Coturnix japonica: one gene and its partner. The protein of the gene in region 1 interacts with the protein of each later gene in a pairwise test. Links are inferred from orthologs where the notes say so. Each region holds a gene or a part of one and is shown on either strand. Other genes may lie near its edges. The genes, in order: NF-kappa-B inhibitor delta and SS18.

Region 1 (4,287 bases):
ATTGCTGCCTGCCTGGTGCCTAGCACTCCAGTTGCCACCCAGGCAATATTTCAAGTAACCTTAATGGTTTATGCCTGAGTGAGGTTTGCAAGATCAGAGCAAAAGTCTTGAGGACTTTCAAAGCATATTCCACTGCTTAATATTCACCAATCTAGAAGACGTGAGCAGTAGATCACATAAGTGATCATAAAGTCACTTGAAAATAGCAGTAGTCCAGGCGCATTGAAATTAGTGGCTTATATTAGCAGAAAAACCCAGCAAAGAAATGAATTAGAAGGAGTTTGGTTCACCACTGCTTACTCCAGCTTTACGAGCACAGAATCACTCAGTAAAACTGGGATAATAGGTGTGTGAACCAAGCCCGTGGTTGCTAAGATTGCATTTGATTTCCTTTCACTTCAATGTATGTAAATTCTCTGTGTGGATACCAAAGATGAACTGCTTCAGAATTTCTTTCTGGGTTGTTCTGGTTAGAAAAAGACAAATTATTCTCCAATAAAGATCTATAGTAACTTCCATACGCCTGGAGTGTTTTATTTCCTACACAGAAGTATGACCCAGCACGCTGGGTTAGCGATCAGTCTATGAGTACAGCCCAGAGCCCAAGGAGCTGTTGGGCTTTCTGCTAGTTTTGCACACTGAGTCAGGCTAATAGAGGATCTCCATGGTCTAAATGTGGGCTGGGAGCACTGCTTGCTCACTGACACGAGCACTGCTGCTGTTTGGGTGTTGGTTTGATCACAGTCATCTGCTATTGGTAACCATGGGGATGCACAGTGTGCACTCATAGCTCATGCTGAGCTTGACTGCAAACCAGACCAGCTGTGAAGTTGCATTTCTGCTTCCTAAAATTGCAAGCTGTGGCTCTGGGGTACAAAATTACCTGGGGGAAGAAGCGACTGCCCACCAGTTTATGACTAAGAAGTGTTGAGAGTGAGCAAATTGGGCTGCTAGGGCTGCCTTGTGCCTTGGTTTTATGCTACACATGGCAGTGTGACCCCAAACCAGTGGGAGCCCCAATGCTGAGTTTGTGTGGGGTTCTGGTACATTGTGGCACAAGTGTCAAGCTCACCTGAGGGATAGTGCTGGTGTAGAAGGGAGCCAGCATGGCAAAGCTTGGGGTGCTGAGGGATTGGGAAAGCAGCAGTTATGTTGAGGTAGGAAACTCAGTTCCTGGAAATGGGTTTTCTGAATCTCAAGCCTTTGGGGTTATGGATGGGTCTGTGGGAACTCTGGATGTAAAACCCCCGAAGCAGCACTGTTACCCTGTAAAACTGTTTGCTTCCAGGGTGATCCATGACCAAGCAGTGATCGATATCTTTATTTACTGTCTTAGAATTCTACATATTTATGCAGCTAAAGGTATGAGGGCGTTTACGTTGGCAGCTGCAGAGCGCATGAAGGAGCTGCGGAGACTTGATGCCAAGGAACACAGAGGAAAGGTAATGCTGACCATCTCCTCTTGCAAACAGCATTTGGGATGGGCACTGGCTATAAGGCTGAGAGCAAGCGATGCTGTGTTTTCAGCCCCCCTCAGCCTCTCTGTTACTGCAGGAGAAGCTCTGAGCAGTGCTATGCCTTGCTCTGGCATTCTGAAAGTGCTGCACTTGCTTTGCCATCTGAATTAAGAGAGCCCAGCAGGAGCTGGGAAGTGCCCCTCACTCACAGTTCTATGGGATTCCAGATCTGCCTGTGAGCTCCCCTTGGCTTGTGCACCACAACCCTTGGCCTTCTAGATCCCATCCAACCCAGTCTGCTTCTGCCTTTCTTCTCTTTATGATCACATCAGACTCTCAGGGCTCTCTGCTGTGCTGCCCTTTCCAGACCCCGCTCCTGGTGGCCGTCACTGCCCGGCAGCCAGCAATCGTCCACGATTTGATCCAGGCAGGAGCAGATGTCAATGCTATAGACAACAAAGGGCAGTCAGCTCTGCACCTTGCTGCAACATATGGGTATGCCCACGTTCTCCAGGTAGGAAAAGCTTTTATGGTTTCATTGTTAGCAGTGTAAGCCTGTTATCGTCTCATTATCACCATCTTTAAACAACTCTTTCAGATGGGAGGATGATTGTAAGCAGTTCAGATTTTTAGTAGAGAAAAAAGTGTATCTATCTTCTTGCATGGTGGGCTCGCATGGGTTGAACAAGACTCTGCAGGGTGTTGGATAAACCCTTGGGTTTATATTGGGTTTATATGGGATATGCAGCTCCAGCGGCCATCGGTTCAGCCTGGCACCCATCCCAGGAGGGCCAGCAGCAGTGGTTAATGTATAACACAGGCAGTTCTTTGGAAAGCAGGTGTTTCATTTAAAGTGCTGCGCGTTCAGATAATTCCATCAGTGCCAATTGGACTAGTGGAAACGAGTCTTTTTATTATGTGTTTGTTTTTTAAGCATAAAAAGAGGAATCAGATGGAGCAAGGAATAGTGCACGTGGGTTTGCTGCTCTCCTGGGTCACAGGCATGACATGAGACGGTGTTTTTTGGTTTTCTTCTTCTTAACACCTGAGACGTCTAATCTCTAAACATCAGGCAGCTCAAAGCCTCTTGTCAATGTTTGCTCTGGGTATATTATATTCTTGTTATGATAAGAGAGCACAAGCCCTAACGTTTCTGAGTAATCCTCCTGTGCCTTGTCCAGCATGACGGGGTTGGGATGAGTCACCGTGCAGCCACATCCCCATGCAAGATGCTGCAATGCAAACAACGTTCTGCATTCAGTCCAGAGCAAAATATGCATGAACTGTGGTCATTCAGACAAGGCTGAAGGTCTGGCTGCATGTCCTTGGGTTACTATTAGGGGACTTGGTGATCATCTTGTGCAACCCTGAGTGACATCCCTGCTTGGAAATAGGACTCAGAGTGCCAAAATCTAGTGCCAAACTGCTTAGCCTACAGTTAAATCATAGTTATCTATTGTCTAATTGCTTCTTTTGGGAGGGTTGGGGGTTGGTTGGTTGTTTTTTTCCCCATCTTTTGTTAGCTCCAACCATTGTGGTATGGACAATGTTCTGCTGAGCTAAAATTGCCACATTTCTCTGCCACTCCCAGGTGATACTCTCACAAGGCCTCCCTCTCGATTTAGAAATGAAGGATTTTGAAGGTGAGACCTTATGCACAAGTATTTTATAGTGGTCCTAAAAGAAAAATGAAGGGAAGGAAGAAGTGATACCAGCAATGTCATGGACTGATGCACATTGGGGTTGGCTGGTGCATGGGGTGATGGGCTCAGATGCATCAGTGCTGGAAGCTCAAATGCCACAGGGCTCAGTGGTATCTCAGTGCACACATGGAGCTGAGTATGCACCAGAATGCCCCCAAATTGTTTGTACATCCAGAATGGGACTTTTGGAATTAGAGAAAGGTCTCAGGGCTTAAGGATGCCCTTTACAAGATATGTGCATAGTATCTTTTAAGGTTTAAAAGACCCTTAAAGGCTTCCTGGTCCAACCTCCCCTGCATTGAGCAGGAACACCCACAGCTCCATCAGGAGCTCACATCCTCCCCTTACGGTGTTGCTCTGATGGAGACCATCATCGCTCCCTCCCTGCTGTGTCCTCAGGCCATACCCCGCTGCACTGTGCTGTCCTGGCCCATAACACACTGCTACGGGACCGGAGCCGCCTGGCACTGCTGGAACAGCAGAGTGAAGATCTGCAGCACCAGAGCTGGGAGCTGGAGAGCTGTGTGCAGCAGCTGGTGCAGGCAGGAGCCTCCATCTACAGCCGGGTAGGAACTGCTTCTCCCCATCCTTCAGTTGTCCCTCTGCTGTTTGCTGGTATGGGGACTGTGCCTTAAGTTGCTCTGCAGAAAGATTCTCATTTGGTGATGTCTGTCTGCATTTAAATAGGATGTGAAAAGCAACAAGACAGTTCTTCACTACACCGTCCAGGATGGGAATGTCTCCCTGCTCCGCTATTTCCTGGAGCTGAATGCTTTCAAATCCAAGGACTTCATCAACAGCAAGGTGAGACTGGACAGAAGCAGTGCAGATAGCACTGGGGTCCTGCAGAAAGCACTGACTCCCCTCCCATATATGTTATTTGAGCAGCAAAGAGGCAGTACAAGGGATTTAGTGCAGGGCTTGGGCTGAGCCCTGGCAGCAAGACAGATAATGGGGGGAGAGGGATGTGGGATGTGGTTTCCTGGGAAGGGATGGGAACTTTGTGACATTGGGCTGAAATCTGAGCAAACAGCTCAGCAGTGTTGTGATGCTTTGCTGTTGGCAGTGTTTGGAACAGCTGTGTGTTGGTAACCTTCCCCAGCAGAGCCCTGCACAGCAAGGGACAA
Region 2 (4,584 bases), on another chromosome or scaffold:
TGTTCCCTATTTAAGTACTTACATTCTAACTACAAGAAGTTCATGGGAAGTTTTCTGAGTTTTTATGTAATCTCAACCAAAGAACAAACTTGAAGACTTGGGGCATAAATCTTCCTTCTCCCTCTGAAGCCCACAATCCAATAATAAAAGGCACTGTAATGGTTAACTGATAGAAACTGAGCTTAACATACAAGATTGTTTCAAGGAAATGCCTTGAAAAGTAAAGCCAGATTTACATTACAAATGTTCTGTATAATTACACGCTCTTAAAGCGTGGTTTAACCAGCACAATAGACAATATTTCAGAAGCGTTTGGGAATATGAACACATACTAATTACTTTTCTGGGGAAAATAAAGTTCTAAAACCATGGGAAACTGCAGGTCTCACAGCCTTCTGCAGGAAGTACATGAAATAAAGATGTTCTATGCTAACAAGCAGGAAAAAATAAACAGCCTAGTTTCACAGAATCACAGAATGACCCGGGTTGGAAGGGACCTCAAGGATCATGTAGTTCCAACCCCCCTGCCTGGCAGGGCCACCAAACATACACATTTACTAGATCAGGTTGCCCAGGGCCCCGTCCAACCTGGTCTTGAACACCTCCAAGGACGGGGCATCCACAACCTCCCTGGGCAGCCTGTTCCAGGGCCTAACCACTCTCCTAGTGAAGAAAGTTTCCCAAACTTGCACATCCTCATGCTCATATCTCTGTCTTAACCACTCATCTGCACTCTGATCAGGCAGAAGTTCAGTAAAACCAAGGCAAATCTGAGCTACCAACCAAGTTATCCAAGCCTGCTCAGCTAAGTGGAAAATCTTACATCAATTTCTTGGTTTCCCCAGTGGAAAACTAGTTCAGATCCTTGCAGCCTATCAAGTGTCACATCCTAGATCTGCAAATCTGGTCACTTCTTCTCTCCCCTTACAATATGGACGTGACACTCAGCTACTGAATTTCACAAAACTAATACGAACTTAATCATCTTTGAGGCTCTTCCCATCTTCTGAACACCGAATCAAAACATCACAAATCAGAATGTGGCTGAGATTAGCCAAGTTTATGATTCTACAAGGGAAGCACAAGCACTATAATTACATCACTTCCATTTCCCTGGGGATCCAACTTTAGCAAATTCTACCAGAAAAAAAAGACAACTTCTTTGTTAATCCTTTTGACTAATCCACCTCTACTACAAAGGTCATAAGCCTTAGAACCTTATGCAGTCCACTCAGGATTTACATCCAGATAAGAATAAAGCAAAGAGTTGAGTCTTCCCTAAACTCAAACTAGCAATTCACCAAAATACAGGAGAACAATCAGTGAGAAACAGATCTTTCCTGAAATTGCTAGACCTGGAAACATCACCCGTAAGCAGGAACCACAGACAGAACCACAATATTCCAAGTTTCTGAACTCCTGACACTATGCAGAACTACATCTGCAAACTCCTAAGAGGATCCCGGACACACTCCTACACTGGCACACTTCATATGTGCTAACATCAAGTGTTAAGGAAACCCAGTGGCCAAATTCAACAGAAAAAGAGAACGGAGAAAAAGCAATTAGTATAATTTATACAGTACACAGAGTACTTGTAAGGGAAGCCTTGAATGAAGGACCTCCTCAAAAAGTCTCCAAGCATCTAGAGAAAGGCAGCATTTACTTAAAGCATGTTAGCACCTGGAGTGGTGATGTGCTGAACAAGCTGCCCAGAGAGAGAAGCTGTGGGGCCCCATAACTGAAGGTGCTCAAGGCCAGTCTGGATGGGGGCCTGGGCAGCTGAGCTACTGGGTGCCCACAGTACATGGTGGGACTGGGTGGGCTTTGAAGTCCCTTCCGATCTAAGCCATTCTACAATACAGATAGAAATCAGAACTGCCAGCGAGATGGTTGTTCTCTCCACTGTGGCCATACAGGCTGGACATCTTTAGGGAAAATAAAGAAATAAAGCTAGGAGAAAAGCAGAGAAAAACAAACAAGAAGGAATACAGTTGTATGCCTGACAGGACTGAAAGCACTGTTTTATATGTTTTTTATCAAGCTACTGCTGATGGAAAACCAGTTCTTTGAAGAAGTTACAGACACCTGCCATCACAAGACAGCCTAGTTACTGGCTGGATGAAGGCACCTTCAAGACTCCTGACAACTTACATGTGCCAGTTACAAAGATTCTCCAGCTTTAGCTATAGCAGAGTTCTGCCAGTACACTAACATCAAATTACTAGCTTGACTACAGCACAAGAAAAACCTAATTATCTACATTCTCACACTTAAGTAAGTGACCTGAAGGCAGCTTTCTACCTGGTGGATATGCATTTCCCACCTTCATTTGTGAAGCACAGACTGTTGTGGTACTGTGCAAGGTTCCACTGAAGTCCCATACCTTCTGTAACGCCCTGAACTGCAAAACCCTCCCTGCTGACACCCACGTTCTTTCTTAAGCCACAAGCTGATTGTATCCGACGAGCTCCCACACAAGGAGCCTGCCATCATTGAGTGGGAGAGATCCCAGAGCAAGAATTGAGAGGGCCTCTCATGGAAAAGAGCGAGGGCCTACGGTTAAGCTCCAAAGCACAGCACTGAACTCCCTCACCCCCACCAACACGGAATACTCAGTGTTAGTACATACACACCACAGGCACGCTTCCCTCTCTCCGCAGCCCTGTCACGGCCGCCAGCCATACCGCTTCCCTTTAAGCTTTAGGAGAGGAGCAGAGCTGGAGAGGGCCATGTTTCTCAGCGGCCCCAGCACTCTCCCCACGTAGGCCGAGCCCACAGTTACGCAGGGCCCGGCTCTGTTTTCCATGACGGCCTCGCACAGCGCTTGCAGGCCCGCAGCCCTCCATCGCACCAAGGCCTCAGCCTCGCTCCGCTCCACCCCGCCGTCCCGTCACGGCGCGAAGCCCCGAGCCCTCCCTCACCTTCTGGATGGCGGCCGGCGTGATCTCGCCCTTCCCCCGCTGCCGGGGGGCCGCGAACGCCACCGACATGTCGTACAGGCCACAGCAGGGCCCAGCCCGCGCCCACCCGCCCGCTCACGCACAACCCGCGATCCGGGAACAGAGCTGCGAGAGGGCGGGGAGCCCGCACAGCGGGACGGCCCATCCTGCTCCCGCCGGGGAACCGAAGTTGGGCCGCGAGCTCCTCCTCGCTTTTCAGCAGCAAGAAGGTAACCATGAGGGGGACAAGGCTTTTTTGCAAGGCTAGGCAAAGAAGCGGCATCAAGAGCTCGTTGCGCCGTTTGAATACAGCCGCCCTGCGCCATGCCGACCTCCTCAGCCACCCCTCTGTGTATCGCGGCGTTGGTTCATTCCGACCCCGCTCTGCTCAGCGCCGGACAGAAACCTGTTATGCTGAAGTTGATAGACATCACGGTGACTCATGGTTACCATTCCCTGCGCTTTGAGTGAACGCAGTCACAGCAGCTTTGATTAAACTGATGAGATTTGTTAATTAACAGGGTTGGAAGGGACCTCACAGCCCACCCAGTCCCACCCCGTGCCATGGGCAGGGCTGCCCCCCAGCAGCTCAGCTGCCCAGGGCCCCATCCAACCTGGCCTTGAGCACCTCCAGGGATGGGGCACCACAGCTTCTATGGGCAGCTGTGCCAGCGCCTCACCACCCTCTGAGTGAAGAAGATCATATTTTGCAATAACTGTCCTAATTAAATATGAAAAACTTTTAAGTGCCTTCCTATTTCCACACAAAACATGGGAGAATGGTGTATAGAATTCAACTGGTATGTGTGTAAAATCATTCATTCCTAATAATTAGAACCACATCTCTTTCCTTGCTTTGTCAGGCAGTTAAATTGAATCCATTTATTTCCCTTTTCTTTGCGACGATTAATCATTCCTATTTTTAAAATGCTGGGCTTCTGTATTCATAAATAGCCACAGATCTAAAGAAACAGTAGAAAAAGACTCCACAGCTCTGCTTTAAAAACAACATGTAAATAATGGCACAGATGCGTACAAGTAAGGAAATAGATAGCTGCAATGGAAATGTGCCACATGTCTCAGAACACATAACCACAACAGGGTGCCTCTTTTATGACTTTCTTAATGCATTGCAATGTGCCTAGATATCAAAGGACATATGGTATATTTTCTCTTTAATTGCGTATTTATTTGCTCTTGTGAGTTACTCACAACTTTAACATTATTTAATTGTAATTTAGATGCATAAATCTAGATCATCACCAAGAGCTTCAAATACAAATATATTTCAATCAGATCTTTGCTAGTAGGATGGTAGGTTGAATTACAGCCTTTTTTATTTGGGGGGGGGACAACATCAGGGTGTTTCTTTTCTGTGTGTGTGTTTTATAACATCAGCAATACAATCAGATAACAGTTAGAGCAAACCCCAAGTAAGCACTTGATAGATGAAGATAGAAGGTAGCAGGAGGAAGAATTACTGTTGTTGGTTTGGTGTTCCTTTCCCAACTGAACTTGCTGTCACCTCATGACTTTGGTGGGATTTCCTACATGCCCAGCCTCCATGGCCATTCACGTTGCTGCAAAATGAAGCTAGTGTCTGTCTGTTTAAATGGTCGAGTCTCAAAAATGATTTAGATTC

What was found.
Region 2: the proteins of NF-kappa-B inhibitor delta (region 1) and SS18 interact in a two-hybrid assay, tested with the Homo sapiens proteins (2 studies listed by BioGRID and IntAct). The two-hybrid records come from large-scale screens. The link is inferred for Coturnix japonica from reciprocal best matches to the Homo sapiens genes NFKBID and SS18.

Annotation. Positions count from the first base shown.
Region 1 is NC_029539.1:3,677,209-3,681,495, reverse strand, and holds the start of NF-kappa-B inhibitor delta, read left to right. Parts: upstream 1-1,451; 5' UTR 1,452-1,776; coding exon 1,777-1,971; intron 1,972-3,048; coding exon 3,049-3,100; intron 3,101-3,559; coding exon 3,560-3,726; intron 3,727-3,847; coding exon 3,848-3,964; intron 3,965-4,287. UniProt on the Homo sapiens protein: Regulates the expression of IL-2, IL-6, and other cytokines through regulation on NF-kappa-B activity. Functions in the regulation of inflammatory responses.
Region 2 is NC_029517.1:93,986,620-93,991,203, forward strand, and holds the start of SS18 (protein SSXT), read right to left. Parts: upstream 3,079-4,584; 5' UTR 2,994-3,078; coding exon 2,925-2,993; intron 1-2,924. UniProt on the Homo sapiens protein: Appears to function synergistically with RBM14 as a transcriptional coactivator. Isoform 1 and isoform 2 function in nuclear receptor coactivation. Isoform 1 and isoform 2 function in general transcriptional coactivation.